Drosophila melanogaster: one gene and its partners. The protein of the gene in region 1 interacts with the protein of each later gene in a pairwise test. Each region holds a gene or a part of one and is shown in the gene's direction. Other genes may lie near its edges. The genes, in order: Srpk79D, CG34168, lig and BomBc3.

Region 1 (6,028 bases):
ATGCTGTCATCTGGCTGATTTTAATTTTGTAGTATTTGGCTTGAAGGGTCCTTCTATCCATCAGCACAAGAGTAATGTAGTGGTCGTAACTAAACCGTAGAATAGTGTACATACATGGCTTGTAGGCAGCCCACCGAAAGTTTTTGACTAAACATTGGTTAAGGGACCTTCCCTCCAAGCTCTCAAAACTTGCTGCAGAAACTAAAATACCGGCAGAAATCCTAATCCCACTCTTTTGTGTCCCGCAGGAGGACGTTGACCTAGACGACGTTAACTTGGGTGCGGGCGGAGCCCCCGTTACCTCACAGCCGCGGGAACAGGCCGGAGGACAGCCTGTTTTCGCCATGCCGCCGCCCAGTGGAGCCGTGGGAGTAAACCCCTTCACCGGCGCCCCTGTAGCAGCTAACGAGAATACGTCGCTAAACACAACGGAGCAGACCACTTACACGCCAGGTATATAAGCAATTGGTCCAGAAGTCAACCACACAGCCAGCCTCCGCTAGTTTGGCAATCCGACAAAGCGTCTTTGACCATCGAACTTGTTATTGTGCATATATCGAACAAATATTGTTTCCTTCGGTCGCTGGATAGGTGGCGAAGGCATTCAGTCACCAGTCGACATACCCCGTCCAGCGATCAGATCAACACCCCCTTAGCAGTAAGCTCGTGTATCCGGCAAGGTATTTTTTAGTCACTTTCTGTACATGTCCACGCGAATATGGGATCCATTTACTTAGATCTGCATGCTGAATTACATTACCACACACTGCCCGAGCTGCAGGATGACCAATGAATAGATTGATTGACTCAGCCTTTCGTTCCTTAGGTCTGCGCCAGCCGTACTCAAGTCCCCCATTTTAAAGACCTCCTTTCAAGATTGTTTTCCAAGCTTTCGCAAATTAAATGAAATGAAAATTTTAATTTCCATCCAAGACATATTCAAAGAATGTAGCTTAAGTTTGACGGATTTTAGTTTTATCGTTTCTTATGCAACGCGTACATTTTGATTTCTTTTCACTTATCACTGTCTACTTCTCTCTCCCCCTCTCTTCACTCTAGATATGGTTAATCAAAAATATTAGTCAAGTGCTGCGAGCGAGTCAAGACCCGGGTGCTTGCGTACACCACACATTCAGATACAGACACAGAAAACACAAGCCCCTAAATCGTAACAGAAGAGAAAACCAGATTTATTTCATAATTATTAGTGTTGTTTTTAAAATGCGCGATATGTTGAAGCGAGTAAACATAGAAACCAATGTATTTATTTTAAGCCGTAGCACTTAGCTCTAATTTTAAACTATCGAACTTCGTGGCCGCCCTCCGGTCAGTCAGGTTGATTTTGGTCCACTTCGGGCAATCGATTCACCAATTCCATTGTTCAAGCCATGCATCTAGCCTTGCAGCTGTACCACTATACAACTCGAATCGATAGCCAAGCCGCGAAGCCACCATCTCCACCTATCCAGTCATGCTAATCACCAAAACACCATTCGGTGTTGATGAAATTGTATATCGGAAGTTTGTCTAGACATTTGCTTGGGGATCGGATCCCTTGCGGCTTAGCCCGTGAGTTGGGATTCAGTCGCGAAGAGAGGCACTGTAATTATATATATGTATATGATATGTGTATCTAGTTTGTGGCATTTGTGTCGTCGCTTAGTCTAGCTAATTTGTTCTCGAGATCTCCTCTTCACCGATTGTTTCTGTTATTTTGCACTAAATTGTTAAAGCCAGAACTACTTATGTAAAAAGGATGAATTGTCGAGCGACGCGCCCAGCAGATTGCTCCGATCCGATTCTAATGCAAATGTAAATACGAGTTAAACAATTAAGCATCACACAGTTAAACAGAGGAGGACGAAGAAGAGGACACTTTGAAGGGCGATCCAATTAACGCAAATATAAATTATATAACAGATATTAATAATCCCCTCTATATATAAAACAATTAAATACGAGTAATCAAAAGTTGAATTGTAACCCCCGAAAGTATTGCACATATTTATGTATTCCAAATTGTTTCAAAATTGAATTGAATCTAATTAATTTTTGTTTGATTGTTAACCCGCTTTTAAATGTAAATGAATGCGATTAGTCCAGCAGTAATTAACTTTTATATTGTAGTATCCCATTCTAAATCATTGACATCAATTATTGCCGATCAGCTCCGGGCCAGGATAAAAGTCCTTGGGCGCCTGGGTCTAGGGCCGGGATCCGAGAGTCGCCGGCTCATCTATAGTATAAACACGCATACATATATAAAATTCAATTATTAATAATTACATTTTACGGTCTTGCGTGTGTATTTATTGTTCGTACAAGTCAAAGCAAAAATACTAAGTAAACTAAATTTAAACTTAACAATTGTTTCCAAATTTCAATTGTATTCTGGTCTAACACGAAGAAGCCGAAATAAATTTATTATACAAACTCACCGCTTTGTTTTACAAAGGGTATTGCCTAGTCGGCTTTGCCCATGAAAAGCTCTGCCAGGATGGTAAACAAACTGATTTTCGGGGATGGAACTTTCGACGACGCCAGCTGCTTGCAGTTAGCTTTCACTCTCTCCGCTCGGGCTTTGTTTTGTTTTGGGACAGTAACGGGCCACAGCCGGCACATGCGCTTTGCCCGCTCCCCGGAATCGCTGAACTTCGCCGCAGAGTTTTCCGCTTCAGAACCCGGAGGGCAGACCGTCGGAGAGTTCGAGCCAAGTGCGGACAAAGAAGACTTTTCCGTGCTGCTGCTTCTGCCAAAAACACAAAGTGGAAAATGTGATGTGTTCGCTTTATTTGTCGAGGATAAATCAATTCCGCTATTAACTAGACTACGGGCACGTACCTGGCCAAAAGCATCGAAGAAAGGCGAAAGGGAATCCAATAGGCCCAATTGAGGGCAGACCGTGGAAAAACCCTCTTCTATCGCGAACCAGTTCGTGGCAGTGTGTGCGTGCGTGTGTGGATTTTCGCCTTACTTTTTTCATGCGCAATTTGGGTTACAAAGCGAGAAAAGCGCTGCTTAAAATGCATGTTTTAAGCGCGTCCCTTCATTGATTTTCCTACGCACAAGGAATGATATACGAAGTCCTCACCAGGAACAAAGGGCGCAGGCCAACGATGAGGACAAAGACGCGAGGAAGCTGCTTCTAGCTTCCCAGCATTCATTAGGACAGGGCGAGGACCAGCCCCGCGCAGATCAGGAAACTCATCCCGGGAGGCATCCTGGCTCCCGTACTGCCCAGTAGCGGCATGGCCGGCCTCATCGGTGCCGCAAATGGCAAACACCACCACCCACACCTCATCTCGCCCACCCACACGTCACTGCCGGCCGGCATATGTAGTAGTGACAGCGGCATCTCCACTTTGAGTGCCATCTCGCCGCCACTCTCCACCTCGACCACCACGGCCTCCGGTGCAGGCGGAGGAGTGGGCGGCAGCCCTCAGCTGCGCACCTCACCTGCGCTGAGTATGCTGGGTAGCGCCACGGCGACGGCCAGCGGCGTTACCGCCTCCTCAGGATGCGGTCTAACTGCCGGGATCCTGGGCCCGGCGGCCAGCATTGACCTGGGCAGCTCGCCGCTTTCTCACCGAAACTACAGCAACTCACTGAAGGGCTTTAGTTTCCGTCGCAGCTTCGACGACAAGATCATCAATACGCCGTACTTGTCGCGCGCTCCAGCCTACACCCACGGCATTCCCTATCCGCATTTTCACGGTACTCAGCCTGCGGCCACCACGCCGCACCACCTCCACCTACACCACCATGGGAACGGCACAGCTGCGGGATCAGGTTCCGGTGTGGGATCGGGACCGGGATCTGGCAGCGGTGCAGGAGGACTCTACCAGCAGCCTCTGTCGCTGGCCTCGATGACAGCGGCCCTGCCACTGGCTCCGCTCTATGGATCCCCGCTGTCCCTGCCGCTGACCTCCTCTCAGTCCACCACCAAGCTCTCCTACCGCGACGACTTTCTGCAGCAGATTGGCTATCTGCCAACTACGCGCATCTACAGCACCCCGACCAGCATCGTCGACGAGGACAAGGCCCAGCAGGACTTCCTCTCGCTGTCGCTGTCGCCGCCGCTCAACCGACGGCGGGATATGCCGGCACTGCGCGGCCCATTCGTCAGTCTGTAAGTACTTCATCGATATCGTTGTCCCTATTTGGTAAAACATTTTTATTGTGCTATAAAATTAATATAAGAATTTAGTATATATTTCTATTTTCGGCTACAAATACCATATTTGCCAATATTATAAGATAAACTTCCTTCGATCACTTCATGATCACTTGAACACTTCATCTTCAAAAAAAATGTTCTTGACATGAACTGACACTGAGACATGATCAGAAGATCAGGATCTTTTAACAAATAGAGCTGGGCGTGTCCGTCCGTCCGTAATTTTGTATAAAGTTCGACCACACGTTTATTTCAAGACGTGTTCATGACGGACTACTAGAAACGTTAACTAATACTGCTCATTGGAAAGCGACGTCTCTTTAACGCTTTTCTGTTAAGATATCTCAACTCAATCTCTCAACTGAGTAACGAAGTAACTCGACCAAATGCATTTAATTTGTATTGACAAAATGGTATTAGGTTCCATTTCTGAGTGACACAGTATAAGCCTGTAATGTAAATAAAAATATAAATTGACAATTAATGAAATAATATTAAAGGGCATACCAGCTTCGACTTAGTAAAGTAAGCTTTTTTCCAGTTTTCTTTCCCATCACTCTCATGCGGATAAAATATGAACATAAAGTATACGCCGCGTGTATTCCACGTGTCTCTCACAGGCAGGAAATAAATTTATCGAACCGTAACGAGCTGCTCCAATATGTGAGCCGTTCGGGGATGGCCTCACTATTCGCGTTCCCACTGTGCGGGCACAGTGGGCCTCATTGTTGACGCAACCCATTAGTTCGATACCCTTCGCCACACAGTGTGCTTATCCCGAATGGGATGTGATTCCACACACTACATACTTACTTATGTGGTCCAGTTTTTTCGACAGTGGTACCAAGCAAACTTTACCTCCTGCGTCCCATAATCCTACATCGATCCCCCCGCATGAGTTCTTCCATTCAGTCCGCTCGGTTTGTTTACGTTTTTAAATTGCCCTAACCGCAAGTAGGCACCACGTGACGCCAGTGGCTAACCAATGAGCACCCCCAACCCAATCACCAACCTCCAACCCCCAGCGCATCCCCGCAATAACACAAACTCACTGCAATCGAGCAAAACGATGACGTTTTACTGCCTCTGGCTGCTCTGTATTCGCACTGATTTTCTAGCCGACTTATTGTTTTCATTCGCTTCTTTCGGCGTCTATAAATAATAATTTTATTGTGTTGTGCGGGGGGGGGGGGGGTTTGGTGGTGGTGTTGTTATGTACGCCGAGTAGAGCGCGTTCGTGTGTCAGAAATAGGGTGACTCAAGATGTCAGCAAGCTTTTCCTTCTAAAGAAATCGCCATGGCTCCATAAGGATCAACGGCTGACTCAAGTTGGGAACGGGGCTGCAAAATCAATAAGGCCGGTTAGTCCCAATACGAACTCACACATTTGCATATTGTGCAGGCGGCGGACGGAACTGCAGTTGCATTGCGAGGAATTTTTCAATCGCACCTAATCGCTCGAAACTACCTTTCGAAGTGGTTTCGAAACCTTTTGGAATTCGAGGTATTCGAAATCCTGCCTGTCGAACACCCCTCTGCACGGGCGAGGGAAAATTTGGCAAGATGCCTAAGAAATCTCGAAGCACTCGATGATGACGATGATGTTGACGGGCATGGCCCCGCATGAGTGTGTGCTCATTTGGTGGACTCTTTCCTGGTGTAGTGCAGTCCATGACCGGCAAAGGCAGCGAACAACGAGCAGCGCCACGACATCGACTTGATGAAGTACATTGGATAATGACGCCAGCAAAATACACGGCGCATAAAATTATTCATTTACAAAATATCCAACTTTTTTGAATAAGTATTTCTCATCAGAATTGCCCACAAAGCAACCATTTCATACTCAGT
Region 2 (4,046 bases), on another chromosome or scaffold:
TGGATTCGGTGAGTGATTGAGCAGTTGTTTGGTTGTTCACTTCAGCAAAACATTCAATGCATAACTACAATGGGCATAAGTTATGCTTCCCTGCAGAAATACCATTGCAATGGCGGTGAGCGAAAGGGAAAATGCAAGCAAGGAGTTCACTTGACTCGCCCACACAACGATAATCATGTTGTTGATGCCGATGCACGGACTGCTGTAGATATAGATATGGTATCCTGATTCACTGAATCACTAACAAAGTCAGACAGCATCCATTTCCACTGCGCCTGACTGCAAGTGCTTCGTCAATAAAAGTCCCCATCGCTGGATTATTCAGACAGGCAAGTGACCACAACAGACTTCCTTTGAAGGTATTTTGCCAATTTATTAATCAGAAATCTATTTTTACTACCCGAAAATTTCCTTTGTTGTCGATAGTAATAATTATATTTTAAAGAGTACAGATTGTGTATTAAGTTTAATTTTTATTTATAAGTTACATAAATGAATAATTAATATTTTATGGTTTTAAATTAAATAAAGTTTTCTATTTGACTATGTAGAATCTATGTGAGCACTTGTAGCTTTCCTCATATGTATGTATATTTTAAAATTTATTGTGCAATTATGCATTATTAGTTATGATTAAACATTTTAATGGAGTTTTCTTCCGCTTTTAAGCTGTGAGTTACAAACAAATAAATCAAAAACATAAGAACGGAACCAAAAACTTATCGCTCCAAAACTTCCGCTGCACGGACGCTCATAAAATGGGGGACATTGAACTTCTGAGCGGGCTGAAAAAGGCATTGCTGAAAACTGTAAAAATACCAGCGAAGAAGCCGGAAAAAAACAGTGGAAAAAAGTCACATCAACACGAAACATTAAGCTTCACAGTCACAACATATTCGGCTCTTCGATGCATTTTCCTTAAAGTCGCCATGGAGTTCAAATCGAATGGGAGCGCACGCGCCTGCGAATATGCAATGCTGTAATACGAGACCAACACGCGATGGAGATGATGTTTGGTTACGGAAGGGGATACGGGAATTTTCCCGGGGTATTCGGGGTTCCGGAATCGGAACAGAAAATAAGCTCAACCAGACCCAAAAGGCCACCAAACGAACGGGCTATTTACGAAGGGCGGAAGTGCTTTAATTTAATGTTGGTAAAAGATAAGAAGTTAATCCGATCAAATTTTCTTGGCCTTTCCTTCATTTAATTCGATTAAGTAATAGATGAGATAGTGATGTTGGAAAATCGATGTACATGAGCTTTATAAGTAAATAAACTTGTAAAATGTACAGAATTCTTCATCCTTCAGAGTTTTTTTTACTTATTTTCTTAAACTCATAAAAATTAGGAACTTCGAGATGGATTAATTTACACTCAGCCTTACAGCTTATTTGGGTGAAAACGTGAAAAGTGTTGGGGTAATCGACTCAATTAGCTATTGCATAAGCACACTTTGCACACTCCCGCGCCAGCCAAACAAACACCAAACTCAATTAGATGCCATAACTAAATAATCACAAACACATTTACGCCAGCAAGAGCTCTTTTCAGTTGAAGCAGACCGGTTGGTAACCAAGAAACGTGGCAAAAAAAAAAGAAAAGAAAACAGAGAACCAGGTCAACAACAGAAACAACATGAGCAACAATTTTGAAACAATGAAATGACGACAACGACAGAAGCGGCAAGGCATGCCTGGAAAATTGCTTCCAAATGCTCAGAAGCCAGAGTGGAAATATGGGTAGAGTCGGAAAAGTGGGTGGCCTGGGTGGCTGGGGGACATTCCAACATGTGACGCACGTGACAAAACTTGTCAAGTGACTTTACTTCACTTTGACTGCGAATCCCGGCTCTGTTGTCCGTAAACAAGAAGACGGAATCCCGGCTGTGAAGAAAAATAGGTTTGTGTGCATTGCCCAACACAAAATGCTTAAGAAAACTCTGCTCTTGGTAAAACAATGAAAGGTGGGGCAAAGAGGAAAAATCAGTCGCGGCTTGGCTTTTCCGACTTGTTGCGCCTTCGGCTAAATTATGACATCGAGAGTTTTAGGGGAATGGGAAGTCCTTCGGGACGGACTGAAGTATTTTTGGAGGAGCAATGGAGTGGAATTTTATGGGACACACAAACAATCGGGAACGGTTTTATGAATTAAAATTCTTAAAGCGAATTAGATAAGAGGCTAAGAGGCTAACTGTATATATAGTTAATCAAATTTTAAAATTTGGAAAAAAGCATTTTAAAAGCAGGCCATGAAACCACAACATAGAAGGCCATGAAATCAAAGTTAAATCTGTAGAACTTTGTGGACCAAGCTAGTGGCTTTAGCTCATTATAGTTTCGGTTCTCCAACAGAAAACATCTATTTGTACGACTACCAAATTTCTAGGACTGAAAATCCTACTTCCGTAATCAGGCTAATGTGAGTGTGAACAACAAACGAATTTGTTTCTTGAAAATATCCTCGATTCGTTTCATTTCGTTTTCAGAATAAAATGTGCAATCCAGGAATGTGCTCGATGCCCGGCACTTGCTGTGGACCGACTGGCGGACTGGGACCCTGCCTGCTCTGCGGACCCTACAATGGCCAGTGGTTCCGTTCGGTCAACCACTGTTGCGGTCCTTGTGGCCCATATGGTTGCTGCTCATGCTACGGGCCGTATGGTGGACATTGTTAGCCTGCTTAGAAGGAATGTAGGGTTTCTTTATCCGCGATCTGGAACAGGAGCTTTAAAGATTGCAGCCGTGAGGCCTTGTCGAAGATGAGGAGCCACGCTGAAAAGTTGTCAGGCAAAGTGGATCCAAAGATTTGTGTTCGATGAAAGATTATGCCATCAGAAATAGATGTTAATAAATTATACGTATAATTCAAAAATAGACCACTTTAATTTCACTTCACATGTATTGCTATCAACAGTTAGCAAACCTAATTAAATATTTGGCATGCATTCTGTGGAAACAATCACAAAATTCCATCTCGTAATTTGCCGTTTTTGGTTTTCTTTTCAGTCCGCCGGGTGCATTTAAGGCTAAACCCCATTTGATTGTAAATATTTGGCTCGTTTACGGCTAACGATACATCGGGGACCAGCCAAAAAGACGTGTAATGCTAATGGGCCTGTTGAGTGCAAATTTGTTTACGAGTAAAACACCACTAAAACAGATGGGCTTGCTGATTGCTTTCAATTTTATTTAATCGAGGCACCCCGCATCAGATCGACCAGAAAAATTGATATCGTTAAACATAGTGAACAACAGAAACGGTAAGTTTAAAGAGTATATCATCGTGATACGGCTACTTGGTGCGTTTGAGTGCTTTGCTAAGACTGGGGAAATACTCGTCACTGTTGAGATCAGGAGCTTGAGGTTTTCCGGACATCTTGGATGGAACCTTACGCAGACGGCTCTCAGCCTGATCCCGTCGATTGAAGTCACCTTGGCTCTGGCGGAGAGCAGGTGGTATGTAGATTTGGCTCTTTACCTCGGACGGTTCTTTCTTATTCGGTTGCTCCACAGACATCGGCTCCTTTAGCTTCTGCTGCTCCAGTGCGTGCTCCATTTTCACCCAGGGACAAGTGGTATTGCCGATGTCATCATCATGTTTCTGACCCACGTTCATGCCATCGCCACCTGTATCGGTTTGCTCCGAATCTTGAGCTTTGACATCGCCGACGGCCAATTGAGTCAGTATTGTTGAGCCAGAGCTGTGGCCCAAGCTCATGAGCTCCATACGATTCTCCTCTGTAAATTCAGACCATTCATCCTCCTCTTTAACAGATTCATTTGGGTAAAGAAGTGAAAATTCCAACGATTTCATAGCCGATCCTGTAGATTCAGTTGGCCCCTCTGTACGATTCTCATTTTCCATACTCTTTACGGAATCGGCATCCGTGGCCAACTTTGCAGATTCCTCCAGCGTTTTGTACAACTCATCGGTGGCCAAGTAATTGGGTTTTTTTTTTTAGTTTTCTTATTATCTTTCTTGGCAAAGAAATCATCAAGACTGGCCATTATGCTCAGCTTATTTTCCGAATTTATTGTTGACGG
Region 3 (9,084 bases), on another chromosome or scaffold:
ACCGTCGCAGTTGTAAGCCATGAGAATATCGTAGTTGAACATCTTTGACAAATTGTTTTTCAGCGGTTCTATTCGACCTTCTGGCCTCAGGATGCGGTGAATAATATGAGCCTGGAAAACAAAAAGATCAAGTTTGTAATACCCCAATAATCAGGCTTACGTTTTGTGCTATTGCCCGGCTTTGAAAGATTCGCATCCAGATTGGAAAGCTCGTCGGGATCATACACGGGAAAATAGTCCAGTTCCACCTTGCAAAAGTCATTTTGGTTTTTTAGGATCTTTTCAAGCTTATTTTTGCAGCTCCTCCATTGCATCTTTCAATATCTCGACGTCGTCGTCACTCGAATATTTGGGGCATTGGTGTGTGCTCATTGCTCGCCTGGGTAAATATACTTAATGTTTTGTCATCAAATGCAATATTTTGTCCATAGTTTGGTAAATGAACTGATTTTGTTTGTTTTTTTTTTCAAAAGTAGTATGTTTTGTTGATGATAGAGGTGTGCAAATGCCAACAACTTTTCATTTGGTATCGATATACCACTTGATTTAATACGAGTTCAAAACCTTTTAACAAGGAGCATACAACATATTTAAGATCGAAATCAGCTTCTAATAGGTAAGCTGCTTATATTAGCTAATGGAAAATTGGATAAATTAGCTTTTTGAAGCCTTTTAATAATGGTATAGAAATGTTATCAATTTAAAAATTAGTAAAACTGATTCGTGGCACCGCTAGATTTCTGAGTCCAGGGCTGCATGCCCAGATAAAGCCATATCGATCGACTAACGAGCGGTCACATTAAAAGTGCGTTTCTCGGCGCATTTGCAGGTATTGAGTGTGACTCCGTTTTGAAAATTTGTTTATCCAATTTAAAGCCGTGACCGGAACCCTGCTGAGGTGTTAAAGTTTAGTTTAAGTGTCCCCCCACCTGTGCAACGTGTTTTCGACATGTCTCCCGGGGGCTTGTCAGCGAAAAACTCGGTTGAAAATTCAATAGTGGCCGCTGTCTGGAGCGGCGGTCGTCGTCAATTACTGGGTCCCTTGGTTTACATAAGAGCGAAAGAGTCGGCTAGTGTGGCGTTGCAGAAATGGCGTCGAAGTATGTGCACATGGCTGGGTCTATTAAGGCTATATATCCCGTTTGCCCCGCAATGTGCAACTGGGAGTGCGTTATCCTTGCCGGGTATGTCACATATTGGACAAATTTCGCCAACAACGAATCGTACATTTCGCTTATTTCGGCGCAGTGTACGCCACTTTGTCCGGTTTTGCATTCCACTTTGTGCGCTTCATTCGGTTTCAATGCCCTCGCATTCAGTGTTGCCAAGTGCCGGAGCGTACCTAGTGATGTGTGCCATCCGAGTCCTGCCGTGAATTTGTGCGTTTGTGCAGATATTGTAGCTAACGCTGTTTGCCCTCTCTAGGACCTGCTACCTCGTTAACGAATCCAATCATTGTGCTCCGATTGTTGGTTAATTTAACGGCCTTGCCAAGTGCCGCTGCGCTTTGTTCGCACCTGGCAACACTGGTCAGCCCGCGCTGGTGCGGGTGCGAGGGAGATGCCGCTAGGACAGATGCAGAAAAGCGAGCACAAAAGCGAAAGCGAAAAACCGAAGCGAAGAGGCCAAGGAGTTTATAAATCAATTTTTGTGTATGTCAGTCACCGCGATTCCCATTGCAATTGGTATTGAGTAGTTTCCGGGTCTCGGATCGCAGTTCCCCAGTTCCCGTGGTCAAATTTCCATATCATGGTGTACGTGCGAAATGCGAAACCTGATGGAAAAGTGATGGCGACAGCGGTCTTTTGTTTGTGTGCGGCAGTACGCGCGTGTGTCTGTGTATGAATAATGCATGGAAAGGCGTTATTCACGGCAAACGTTGATAAAACTGTTTTGACAACAAAAATTGAGTGATTCAGATATGCACTTGGTATCGGGGTCGCCTCTCCCGCTCTCTTTCCCATGAACCACCCCCCCTGGAAATGCCAACTGACGTTTCGGCTTGGATGCGTCGTGGTCACGTACCCCGCCACCCCCTCGGCAATCATTCTGTTACCTGTTTTGCCAATACACTTTTCACCCCCCTCATTATTTTTGTTATTTCTGAATGCTCGCTTTGTTTGTGCGTACGATCTTCCCTTCCTCTCGCACTTCTTTGCTTCGGCGTGTGTCTGTTTGTTCACGTTCTTTCATTCTCTTTTATTAAATGTACATTGAACTCTCATCTTGCCAACTTTTCCTTTGCTGCTCTCTTTCGGCCACTTGTTTAGCCATTTTAACACATTCCCAGATAAAAGCTGTCTGGATTGTGGGAGTTTACCATTAATATTTCCACGCCGACGAATCAAGATTTAGATCTTAACCATTCATTATTCTCTATCCAACAAAAAATTTATGTAAATGCGCTGTAAATTCCAATTGAATTTCTGCTATATTATAGTTGAATATCAACTAACAGAAGCGAACCAGGCGGCTAACTTTCTAAATCAGCAACACCAAAAATCATTACTTATTACTCTCTACTTATTTGCATTGATCTTTAGATATTACTATTTTACTTATAGAACATTAAGTAAACCCAGAGAGTCCCATACTCAGAATCCAGTCAGCACAGACTTAAATTTTTATCAGTCAGTTTGTAGATTCCCTGGTTTTAAGATCGAATCCTTCATCTTTTTCGTATTGCAGCTAATTTGTATATACAGTGTACATAGAGATGAGCACACAAACTCGTTCAGGCGGCGGGGGAGGCGGCGGCCATGCCCGCAACCAGAAAAAGTCAAATGCCAGCAACTCCGGCGGAGGAGGAACCGGCCATCACGATGGAGTCTCACATGCTGCGGCCGCTGGCAAGAAGGGAGGCCAGGATGCCAGCAAGACAGACAAGCCAGAGAAGGCCCAGCCCAAGGCTACCACCGAACAGTTGCGCATTGCCCAGATCACCAATAGCACCACAGAGGATCCGCAGATCAACGAGAAGGTTCTCCTTCTTTTGACCATGACCCAACGTTCCGAGGAGGAGGTCTGCTGTGCCCTCAACGAGTGCGATTACGACCTGGAGGCCGCGGCCAACTTCTTGATCGAGGAGCTACCGCAGGTTAGTTTCGATTCTAATCTCCCGCGCTCCAGTTATTCAATTGAATCTGTTTTAGGGCGCCTTTGCCAAGTACGAGAAAAAGCGCAAGAACAAGGCTGCAAATAACACGGCTGATGGTGCTGCTGGCGATGGCGATTGGGCCGATGGCAATGGCAATGCGGACAGGCGGGAAAAGTCGCGAAACCGCAGCTCAAATCGCGGAGGCACCCGTGGCTCCAGTGACAGTCGTGGATGTAAGTATCATAAGCCACGCTCATTTACTAAAACGTTTCTTAGGGCATTACTAAACGTTTTGGATCTTTAAGCTCTGCATTACAGTTATTGTAAAACTGCTAAAAATAACGTTTCTTTTTATGTAGAACATATATAAAAATTAAGATCGTTAAATATTCCAATGCTGATTGACATTTAAGGTTCAGCATTTGTTGGTCATGCGCGAGCTGTAATTAGAGAAAATATTAAATTGATGAAATAATTTTAGTAAATGATATTTATCCTAATCCTCTGAACATAAATTAATATTTGATTTCTAATATTGTAGGGCGCGGAAGAGAGACTCGTGAGAATGAGCGCAACCAGCGCGAATCTCGCGAACCTTGGTCCGGGCAAAACGCTGGTCAGGACCGCGGTGACGATCGGGCAAATGACAACTACCGCGGGCAGCGCAACGGCGGCGGACGCAGTGGTCCCGGTGGCGGTGGACGCGGTGGTGGCTTTGTCTCTCGCTCTGGCCGTGGCGGCGGCCGCATGGGGGGACGCACCGGTGGACCGCGTGGCGATCGCGGCAGCGGAGGCCCTGGTGGTGCTTATGGATCAGGTCGCGGTGGCAATGCAAACGAGGATCACCACGAGGTTGAGCTGTGGGACAACACCATTGCCCAAAATGCCGAGAAGCAGCAACAGGCTCATGACGATGCCTGGGGCGACTGGAACAACGAGGAGTACGAGGGCTCGCTCAAGGACAGCAAGGTGTTCACCACTAGCAACCTGGCAACGCAATCCGCTGCCAACGTGGTTAGCGGAACTGGCGCGAGTGTTACAGCTGTTCCTGCGGCGGCTGGAACCGAGATATCGGCGCCACCGGGCCTTGAACATCAGTTGGTGCAGCAGGGATCTCATCTGGAGGAGAGCTCCAGCAGCGGCCCAGCGGCGGTCACACCGCCAGCAACGCTGAGCGGCTCGGCGACCACGCCGCTGCTGCAATACAGCGCAGCGGTCAGTAATCCACCGCCCCAGCTGCAGTCCCAGGGCACACAGTCAGGAGCGGGTACAGGAGCGAGCGCAGCTGCCGGCGGAGGAGCAGGCAGCACACCGTCATCCTTTGTATCCGCCTCTCCCGACACATTCTCAAGCGCCGCCTCGGCAGCTGCCACGCTGGTGCATCAAGCACAAAAGCAGCAGCAACTTCAGCAGCAGACGACGCCTATCAAGCCGTCGGCTACTTTGTCGGTCGAGCAATCTCAGTATTTCAACTCGTTGGCCAGCCAGGGCGTCAGCCCAGGTTCTGTTCCAGTGCAATCGGCGCCAGCGGGTTACGCGCAAAACCCCGTGGCCGCCTACTCCCAAACTAGCACTAGCGTGGGTGTGAGCCAGTACCCCAATACCTATGCCAACGTATTCGCTTCTGGAACGGCAGCTGGAGCTGGCACTGCCGAGCAATCGCAGCAGCAACCGCAGATACGGAGGGCACGTGTTAAGCTGCCACCACCCTCGAAGATTCCTGCGAGTGCCGTCGAAATGCCCGGAGACAATGCACTGAACAACATTGGCTACCTGGACGTGCAGTTCGGCGCTCTGGACTTCGGCACGGACGATGGCTTCGAGCCATTGCCGGAGAAGGTTGGTTCGGGCTTTAGCATTGATGGTCAGCAGCAGCAACAGCAGCCAGATGACTACCAGAGCAAGTCCCAGCAACAGCAGCAGGTGACGCTAGCGGCAGGTCTACAGAGTTCGCAGATTGTAAGTACCGTACTGTATCCTTTGAATCACCCAAGTAATCATCGTCACCATGATTTAGTTAATACGATAGTTTTTAGCATAGTGCATATATTACTGAGAATCTAATAGCATTCCTCATTTATAGAGCGATGCCTTAAATGCAGCGGGCTATACAAGCCGTTCGACGTCACAGCAGCAGCAGGGCGTTAGCTCAGCGGTGAATGCCACAATCGATCAGCTGACCAAGAGCGATCCCTACGGACAGACGGGCGGCAGTGGTAACGCCTACCAAAACGCGTACCAGAGCAGTGGAGCGAGTAAGACAGCCAGTGGCTTTCCGACGACCGCGCCCGGTGGCTACAGCAGCTCCACATACGCGAATGTGCAAAGCTCAGTAGCCAACAGTTACCAGCAGCAGGGATACGGCTCATACCAGCCCAGTTCCTACCAGCAGCAGGCTGGCAGCGGGGCTCAAAGCGGTACAGGTGCGGTAAGCGGAGGCGGAGGAACGGCGACGCAAAACATTCCGGTTGGAGGCAGCAGCAGCCAAAATAGCACGAGGTATGACATGATCCAGTATTGATTGTTTAATATTTAATTCCAAAGGGTACGTACCCTTGCAGAGATTCGTAGTTACATATTTCTTAAATTTAAAAATTATTTCTAAGCAACAAGTCGATTTGGCAAGGAACAACTAACTATACTCAGCAAGGGTACAAACCTTATCGAATATATCTTTTACTTCAAAGTTTAAATATTTGTGTGTATGCAAGTTTTGCTTAACAATTAGCCCCACCCGAAAGAGAGCTAATCTTCATTTTGTTTACTGTTTTTCTTCTCTCCTAACACATTTAATGCTCGCTTATGTCCCAAAAATCCCAAACCGCAATCGCGCTCCGCACCTAACAGCGGCAATGCGAGCTCTGCCTACCTCACATCCGGATATTCGACACCACAAAGTGCTTACCAGTCAAGCCAGAGTGTTTATGGCAACACTGGACTGTCCAACAGCAGCGGGTAAGTACCAAATGTGACGATCCCAATCCCAATACGATCAGTTCCCTGGGGATGACACGTACCTTATTTTGCTTGTTTGGACTGGTTCTGGTTCCATTATGCTTAATTGCGGCTTCTCGCCCGTTCGTTCAGGTTCTCTGGCAGTGCGAGCAACGCGTCCTCGCAGTACGCCAATTTCAGTGCCAGCGCCAAGCTAAAGGATGCGACCACGGCCAGTAGCGCCGCTCATTACGACAGGTAAGAGCGAAACCCCCGCTCTGCATGCCCCGCTTTTTCAAATATTCCGACTAACCCAACCCCCTGGTCATATCCCACTTAGAGGCGGATGCCTGTAGCACTTAATGTTGATCTTATTGACCTTTCAGTGTCTCAACCAGCAGCGGAGTGAGCAGCAACAGCGGAAGCACAGGCAATGGCGGTGTGGTGAGCGGTCAAACAGGTGCTAACCAGGCGGCTGTATCGAACAGTAAGTAATCGATGATTTAATATCAAACAGTTGAGGCCCTAAAGAGTATGCATTGCAGTCATTAAGCTTTCTGGTATAGAAATCCCATATCAAAAATATTTAAAAACAAACTCACAATGTCAAATCTACTTCAATCTAGCCACGGCTTTGACAATACAACTCTCCAAAATAAATATAATTTTTGATTCAAACTTTTTGTTTAGCTGAAATGCTCTATTTTTGGCCGAATTCTTAGTATTCGCATTTAAACTAAAACCTTTCCGTCCTCTCCAGATAACAGCGTGAGCGGCAGCAGCTCGGTCAGCAATGTGACGGCAGGCGTTGCGAGTGGCAACGTAGCTGGCGTGGGCGGAGGCGTAAGCCAGAGCGGCGTAAGTAGTGGAGTCGGCGTGCCCGGTGGCAGCGCGTCCAGCGTCGGTGTGAATGTGAACAACAACAGCAGCAGCGCCAGCTCGGTGGGAGCAGCGACCGTTGCCCAGACAGCCACGGGAACCACCGCTGCAGTGCTGGCCTCGCTGACCAACAAGAACACCAGCAGCAGCAATAGCAGCGGCAGCGGTGGCAGTGCTGCCACGACGACGGGCAACGCCAGCGGACAAGGTGCGGGAGCAAGCACCGGCGGCGTGGGCAGCTCGTCGGGTGCTGGTGGTGCTGGTAGTGGTGGTGGCAGCGGTAGCGGCTTGGTGCCCACCAACATCCAAATGGTTAGTCAATATATTCAGACTGGATTGCCATACTATCAGCAACCAGTGTATTCCTACGAGGAATTGCAAATGATGCAACAGAGAGTGCCACATGTGGTGAGTTCATGGAGAAAAGCAAAAGCAAATATCAAACCAACAACTACATAATGCAACCGACCAATCAACCGAACCGTTTCTAATCAAACAGTAATCGTATCAATATGCTCCCATTATACAACGTTTTCGCATTAGTCAAGACCTAGTTCCATTTAAAATTTAAACGCATACGACAACTGCTCAGCGCATCCCAGCTCGCCTCCCGCTGCTGATCGAAATCGTTAATCCGGATCCTGGCTCGTTGACGTTGCGGCCTCCCACTCCTAACCGTTTCTCAGCGTGCATTGTACATAATAACATACATATACCGCGATGTCTGTGATCAAGTCCTTATTATACCACCTCCTAAAAGTCTGTGTCTGTTTGAATATGTATGTGTGTGTGTGATTGTGTAAAAAGCTGACACTTTCCTTCGCCACCCTGCACCATCCGCTTCCGTTTTCATCCAGTTCCACATTCCTGGCATTATCACAAAAAAAAAAAGATAAACAATCCACATGTATTGCTTACCTCCCAGGCTCTGCTTTACACTCAAAATTAACCAAAAACTAATCCGAACGTTCTTCCTCGTTTCCATCTACAATGTAGTTGTGGAATTAGGGATGCAAAGCCAATTCAAATCGAAGAAATATAACCTTAAAATATAAATATATATATACTTGAATTACTTTGCATCCCTAACTACAACGAAATCTGTGCTCCTTACTGACCCATTTCATTCGATCACTAACATTTTACCCTTTTTTTTTTCTTCAACCTAACATCTGACTAATGTATAAATTTCTTACATTGAACATAACGTATTTCATTTTGTTGAAACTGGTACACGTGGTTTTGTCAGACCTTTATCACATATTTATTTTGTTTCGGTAAGAAGTTCTGACAAAGTGATCCGTTCATCATCTTCACAGCCATAACACGCCCAGAATGCTCGCGTGAAGACGAACCTAATGCTATAATTCTCAATTGCAGCAGGGATATTACGATCTGAACTATCCGCCGGCCAGTTTAGGAGCTGGACGTGACAACCTCGGCTCTGTGACGTATTCTGCTATGAATGATGGACGCTTTGCCCGCACTGACAATAACTCCAGTCCGGTCGGCAATGTATGTGCTCAGCTTAGATAGATAGATCGATAGATGGTAAAAATGTTTATTTTGCAGGTCTCCAGCACAATGTCGCAACAGGCTGGCTCAAGTGCGCCCATGCTAAATGTTCCTTACGCCTACTTCTATGGTGGCAATGTAATGCCCGGTAGTTTTCAATATGGCACGCCCGCCATATATCCAGTAAGCCTATTACATTCAAATCACTTTGTATGCAGTATCTAATCAACGTCTAAACTTATTCAATTTCAGCAAATACCGGCAGCAAACACTGCCTCCGGTCAACAGTTCCCGAAGCCTTCGTATAGCGCGGGCTACGGCTCGACCAGCTATGACACTCTGTCGCAGACCACGCAGGACTACAGCAAGGGCGGCTACTCGTCGAGCGTGAATCAGCAGAGCAAAACTCAGACTGTGTCCAACCAGTCGCAGGCAGGCACTGGATCCGATCTGACCTCTTCTATGTACGGAAAAGGACACGTGGCGCTGAACAAGGTTAATGTACGTATGGTTATAAGCAGGGCTGTGGATTTGGATGCAGGTCATCATAGCCTGAATTCGATGTTAAAAGACTTCAATTATCTTTGAGCAAAAAACAATACAACAATAAGATTTCACAGCCCTGGTTAAAACACCTTATCTCCCGACGTGTCTACATT
Region 4 (5,008 bases), on another chromosome or scaffold:
GCCCACATCCTGGAGAGAACCCACACTGCGAGCCCTGACATCGACAAGGAGGTAATCCTGAGCAACACTTCCTTTGAGCCTAAACGAAAGGAAATGTATTCATTGGAAAAAGAATGAACATTTTTATACATGTGTATTCAGCAAATAAATTATTACCAAATTACTATTTCTCCCATGAATATATACTAATATCAATGTTTAATGGGTATATATTTAATAAAAGCATGATTTTCTTAGAAAATTAATCTAAGCCCAATGTGCTACTTCTTCCACTGAAAACCCGAAGCTACTTTACTGACACTGAAGATTTTCGATGTGCGCATTCTACTTCTAAAACTACTACTACTACTAAAACTACTCATTCTAAAACTACTGATTGCACAGGCTATAAATAAAGTAATCTTTAAGCGTATCTACTTTGAAATGGTTATTTTCGTTTCGAATGTGTAATTATACATGTGCTGCAAGAGTCTTAACTAAACATATATCCACGAAATGTACTATTTTTAAGCGTGCACGCAACCTTTTCTTAAATGCAAAAGAACCAACTTAAAGAAAGGAAGTCCTTGAAAACTGTTTAACAAAATGCATGCTATGATACCGATAATTATACTTAATGACCCTTAATTTGATTCCGGTTCATTTGCTTCAGCTTAGCTCACCAAAAGCTCGCCGAACGAACAAAAATCGAACTTGTAATTGTATCAATTAAGTGCTTGTGGATTCACCGAGCGGTTCTTTTGGTTCAACTTTTTGGAAATTCGATGCCCTTGCATATTTAGCCAGGGCAAGTCCTTTAATTAAGACTGACAAGCAGGATGGCTGAAACTTTGAAGAGCTTATGAATTATTTCCTTTGCAGGACTTTGACTCCTTCAACCGAACAGCACAGTCGGTTTTATGGCTTTAAGGGTATATTAATCATCACTCTTGAACAGTTGCTACTCATTTATACGTGTCTGAACTGAATTACAATGAATACCAATTATAAAATGCACAGGAATTAAGGATATTATTTTTAGAAGCTATAGGTGGCATGCCATTTATTAGTAGCGTTAGCTGAGTATTTGATAAGTTTATTCACTAGTTTTACTTTAACAGAGGGACTTGTTTTTAACCTTTAACAAAACCTAACAAAAGCTCATTCTGTAAGTATATAAAAGTAGTCACCGCTGATAAAATATATATTTTTTTTATTTAAGTCTATATAATCTAAGTTTCAGACGATGCTTGCTCTTCGCGCTTAGCGCTAGCAAAGCTTCGAGATTATAATCTCAGCCGCTTATAATCTGCGTAAGACCGCCATCATCGTAGCCACCTCCACCGCCGCCTCCGTAGCCTCCTCCACCTCCTCCTCCGCCGTTACCATAGCCGGGTCCAAAGTTGCCCGAATATACTGGACGACGGCCACCTCCTCCACCTCCGCCGCCGTTGTAGTATCCTCCACCGCCTCCGCCTGCGTTGTATCCACCTCCTCCTCCTCGTCCTCCGTTGCCACCTGTGTAGACTCCAGGTCCTTGGCCTCCGGGTGGATTACCTAATAGTGATATTTAAATCAGTTTCTTGAGGAGTAGTAGTTACTTAATTGCGCGCTAGCTACTGCATTTTTTACGCAAGCCAGCAAATGTACTATGCGCTATAGAAATTAAAAGCTTAAAGCTAAGTGTTCGGAATTATATTATTCATAAACTTAACCAATAACAAATGTTTAGAGTATCGTTAATAATCACTTAATGACTTTCGTTGCCAAGAAATACCATAATATAATAACAAATTGATTGTTCATTCAAACTTTCGCTAATGAAAACACAAAATTTCCTTTTAAACTATGCCTGATGTGGCAGCGACGAAAATCGTTGAACAATTTTTGAATAAATGGCCCAAATTAATAGGCATTGACTTACAGTCGTAGCAACCGCCACCGATGTAAACAGCCGCCTCCGTTAGAGCCAGTGCAAAAAAAGCGATAATCGCAAATGCCGTCAAGGTTCTCATTGTGGCTGGTCTATTAGAACGTCGAACTGGTCTGGACCAGGTACGAACCGCAACAGCAGCTTATATACGATGCACTCATCGATTCCGATTCCGATACTGAATTTGAATTCGAATTCAAACCCAAACAGACCTTATCGCTGCAAAGAACTATTGCTGTGCAAACAAACCACTACGTATGTATTAAGTATTAATCTCAGGGAATTGCCCGCGGATGGGTTTCAAAAACAATCTGTAGCGCATCAGTTGGTCAGTCGTATTGCATTCAAGATACTCTACGTTACCTTTTTAACATAACAAATACACAAAATCTGTAAAATCTATAATAAGTCAGACACTTTTCATTTCTACAAAGTTGCAAAGATTTATTTTTAATGAAATGTATTTGTTTTCAAATATATTTTTTGCTTTTTCATTGTATTAAGTATCTTATTATTTAAATATAAATTGTTAGCTTTAGAACTAAAGCTTCTACATTTCACTCACGAGTCACGACTTTCGGTTCTGTAACCAGTTTTCCTTAGATGTATGGATAAAATTTAATGGTGTGCGATTCTCTGGAATCGCTTGCCATTCATGTTTACGTCTGGGAATAATTGTAAACCGACTTTTCGGGGCGTGACTGTCATAAGTTTCTTTGAAGAAGTTCAAGGAAATCAACTACGTCGACCTGATGCCACAAAACCGTGTGCGGAAAACCCCATCGAATTGCGATTTGATAGTGTTCTAGTGTGAAATTAATTTAAATATATTGTTCAAATACAAATCGAAAGCTCCAAACGCTTAGGCTTATGCAAATCGATTTTGATTCGGATCGAATCAAGTGCCGGACTATATAAGTAGCGTGAGAGTCGATACGGTCATCTATCTATCGGCTTTAATATGAAGTACCTGACGTGTGTGCTGCTCCCGTTGGCTTTAATTCCGACTCTGATCGGCGGTAAGCTGGACGGGATTGCTGCTGACGCTAATTGATACACACTGAAATTATTTCCAGCTCATCCCAGCACAGTGGTGGTGAATGGCGTCTGTCTGACTTGTAAGTTGCGATTGTTTTGCCAGCTAGGCAATTGGACAACTTAATGAATAATAATATGCACTCGAAAAGGTCCCAATCCGAATGGTGAACCCGTCTACCTGGATGGCCAGCAGTACCGCAGCTTCTCCTCATCCCCTGGCGATGGTAATGTGGTCATTTCCCGTGGAAATGACGGTAGTGGCGGTGGAGGTGGCACCATTTACCGGAGGGGTGGTAATACCATCGTCAATGGCAGATGTCAGCACTGCAACGTGGATCCCTATTAAAGGCTTAAACAATAAAGTCTGAATATTGAATTAAAATTGCGCACATATCGATCAATCCATTTCATACTTACACTTGGCTATGTACAACATCATTTAGCTAAAAGCATTGACAATCGTTCAACCCAGTCTCTCTGCAAATTCGATGAATGTGATGGTTTCGAGTGCAGAGGGCATCATCTGATGGAGGCAAAAAATGGAAAAATGAGCGTTTTATATTCAGTTTTTGTTACCACGAAGTACACGTGGAGAAACATGAAACATCCGAGTTATTTTATGCTGCGAAAAAAGCGTGAAGAATGTTATAATTGCTTTTGGTCGAAATATTCAGTCCTGAAAATCAAATTTTTCACATTTAAAATAAGAATTTTTTTTAACGATTTCCAGTACCTCATTGCGTGCACTGCGAGCTGTCTGTTTGTGAACATTGGCTTCTCTCATCCTTCTCAAAAATAAGTGATACAAAAGCGTTACATTTTCAAAAGCCTTGGTTTCAAAACAGTCTGCAAATAAGGGAAGACCCACGGATTTTGTGACGGAAAAATAGAGAAATTCGTGCTGCCAATGGCATCGATTGTTTGAACTTCAGCTAGTTGCCACATAAACTGGGCTGGGAGCTGACGTCGCTGTCTCCAGAGTATTGCACAGCATCGATAATCAAATGCGAGTAACCAACCGTGCAATTTACGCCAGTGGATGTGTTGTCAATGAAAACGCTGGCCTGATGTAAGGGTGCTTAAGGTTGCGCGTGCCACGTGGCGTATACGTAATGCTACTGCAGGAACGGCAAACAGAAGCCTCTCAAATATTTGCTTTGAAACTAACTACTCGACAAACAGTAAACACTTAGTGCATACACACACACACACACACACACACACTTCCCAAGAATATTTTGTGCAGAAGTTTCGAATAAAACTGATGCTGTGTTTTTATATACAGAATAAGAAGGGAAAAGTTTCATTCAGGCTTAGCATGCGAAAACAATTAAAATTGTAAAAGGATTACTTAACAATCATACAATTTTGATTTAAGCGTATAACTTAAGAGAATAGTATTGATTCCCGGACATCCAAGAATAAAAACCTAAGCTTTATTTGCAATTAAAAAAAAATACAATGCATTGAAATCAATGGACTGCCCTTGCGGATGTGCTAAATTCAGAAAAACGCTCGACTGGCTTAAAATTCAATGAACATTTGGGTGGCATAACCATACCAATCGTAAAGGGTTTCGATACACTTTCTCTGATTTACTTTTAATACACTTTATTGGCAGAAATGTGTCGTTTCCTATCTTTTTGGGTCACAAATTGTTTACACGCAACTTTAGAAGCCCCATGAAGCTGAGGAACTCAGTCCTAGTCCAGAACAGGGTGGTTTATCTGCCTAGCAACTTAAGGACCTTGAGCTGGGGAATGTTCGAAATTGAATTTATGTTGACTTGTATTTGATTTCAGGTCAATTTCTGTTCTCTTGTGCCTAATTTGTGCGGCATTAGAGGGGAATTTCTGGGGCAGGTGAAAGGTGAGCCGATCGGACTTGTGGCAGCAGTGGCCATCTCCTTCACGCTTTTCAAATAAATTTTAACTTTTTTCTGTTTCGCCCCCGCAGTGTTTTGCCAGAAGGCAGAATTGATTTATTTGTACACCAATGTTGTTTGCCCTGGGGGCAGCGCCTTTGGTAATATTGTCACGTGCTTGGAAACTCTTATAT

What was found.
Region 2: the proteins of Srpk79D (region 1) and CG34168 interact in a two-hybrid assay, tested with the Drosophila melanogaster proteins (one large-scale study listed by BioGRID).
Region 3: the proteins of Srpk79D (region 1) and lig interact in a two-hybrid assay, tested with the Drosophila melanogaster proteins (one large-scale study listed by BioGRID).
Region 4: the proteins of Srpk79D (region 1) and BomBc3 interact in a two-hybrid assay, tested with the Drosophila melanogaster proteins (one large-scale study listed by BioGRID).

What each region holds. Positions count from the first base shown.
Region 1 is NT_037436.4:22,271,310-22,277,337, forward strand, and holds the start of Srpk79D (Serine-arginine protein kinase at 79D), read left to right. Parts: upstream 1-2,675; 5' UTR 2,676-3,248; coding exon 3,249-4,129; exon of another isoform or gene 4,130-4,182; intron 4,183-4,236; exon of another isoform or gene 4,237-4,407; intron 4,408-6,028. Other genes in the region: Csp (cysteine string protein), read left to right, coding at 249-453, 1,060-1,082.
Region 2 is NT_033779.5:16,133,537-16,137,582, reverse strand, and holds CG34168 (uncharacterized protein), read left to right. Parts: upstream 1-2,310; 5' UTR 2,311-2,421; intron 2,422-2,488; 5' UTR 2,489-2,494; coding exon 2,495-2,677; 3' UTR 2,678-2,869; downstream 2,870-4,046.
Region 3 is NT_033778.4:8,067,183-8,076,266, forward strand, and holds the start of lig (lingerer), read left to right. Parts: upstream 1-2,646; 5' UTR 2,647-2,716; coding exon 2,717-3,097; intron 3,098-3,152; coding exon 3,153-3,330; intron 3,331-3,638; coding exon 3,639-5,056; intron 5,057-5,180; coding exon 5,181-5,596; intron 5,597-5,944; coding exon 5,945-6,052; intron 6,053-6,184; coding exon 6,185-6,289; intron 6,290-6,417; coding exon 6,418-6,518; intron 6,519-6,791; coding exon 6,792-7,318; intron 7,319-8,229; coding exon of another isoform or gene 8,230-8,235; exon of another isoform or gene 8,236-8,290; coding exon 8,291-8,425; intron 8,426-8,482; coding exon 8,483-8,608; intron 8,609-8,677; coding exon 8,678-8,926; intron 8,927-9,084. Other genes in the region: CG17977 (uncharacterized protein), read right to left, coding at 1-111, 161-262. UniProt on the Drosophila melanogaster protein: Acts in the nervous system to mediate the control of copulatory organs during courtship.
Region 4 is NT_033777.3:22,084,330-22,089,337, forward strand, and holds BomBc3 (bomanin bicipital 3), read left to right. Parts: upstream 1-2,853; 5' UTR 2,854-2,873; coding exon 2,874-2,931; intron 2,932-2,988; coding exon 2,989-3,030; intron 3,031-3,099; coding exon 3,100-3,296; 3' UTR 3,297-4,172; downstream 4,173-5,008. Other genes in the region: BomT3 (bomanin tailed 3), read right to left, coding at 1,274-1,536, 1,904-1,994.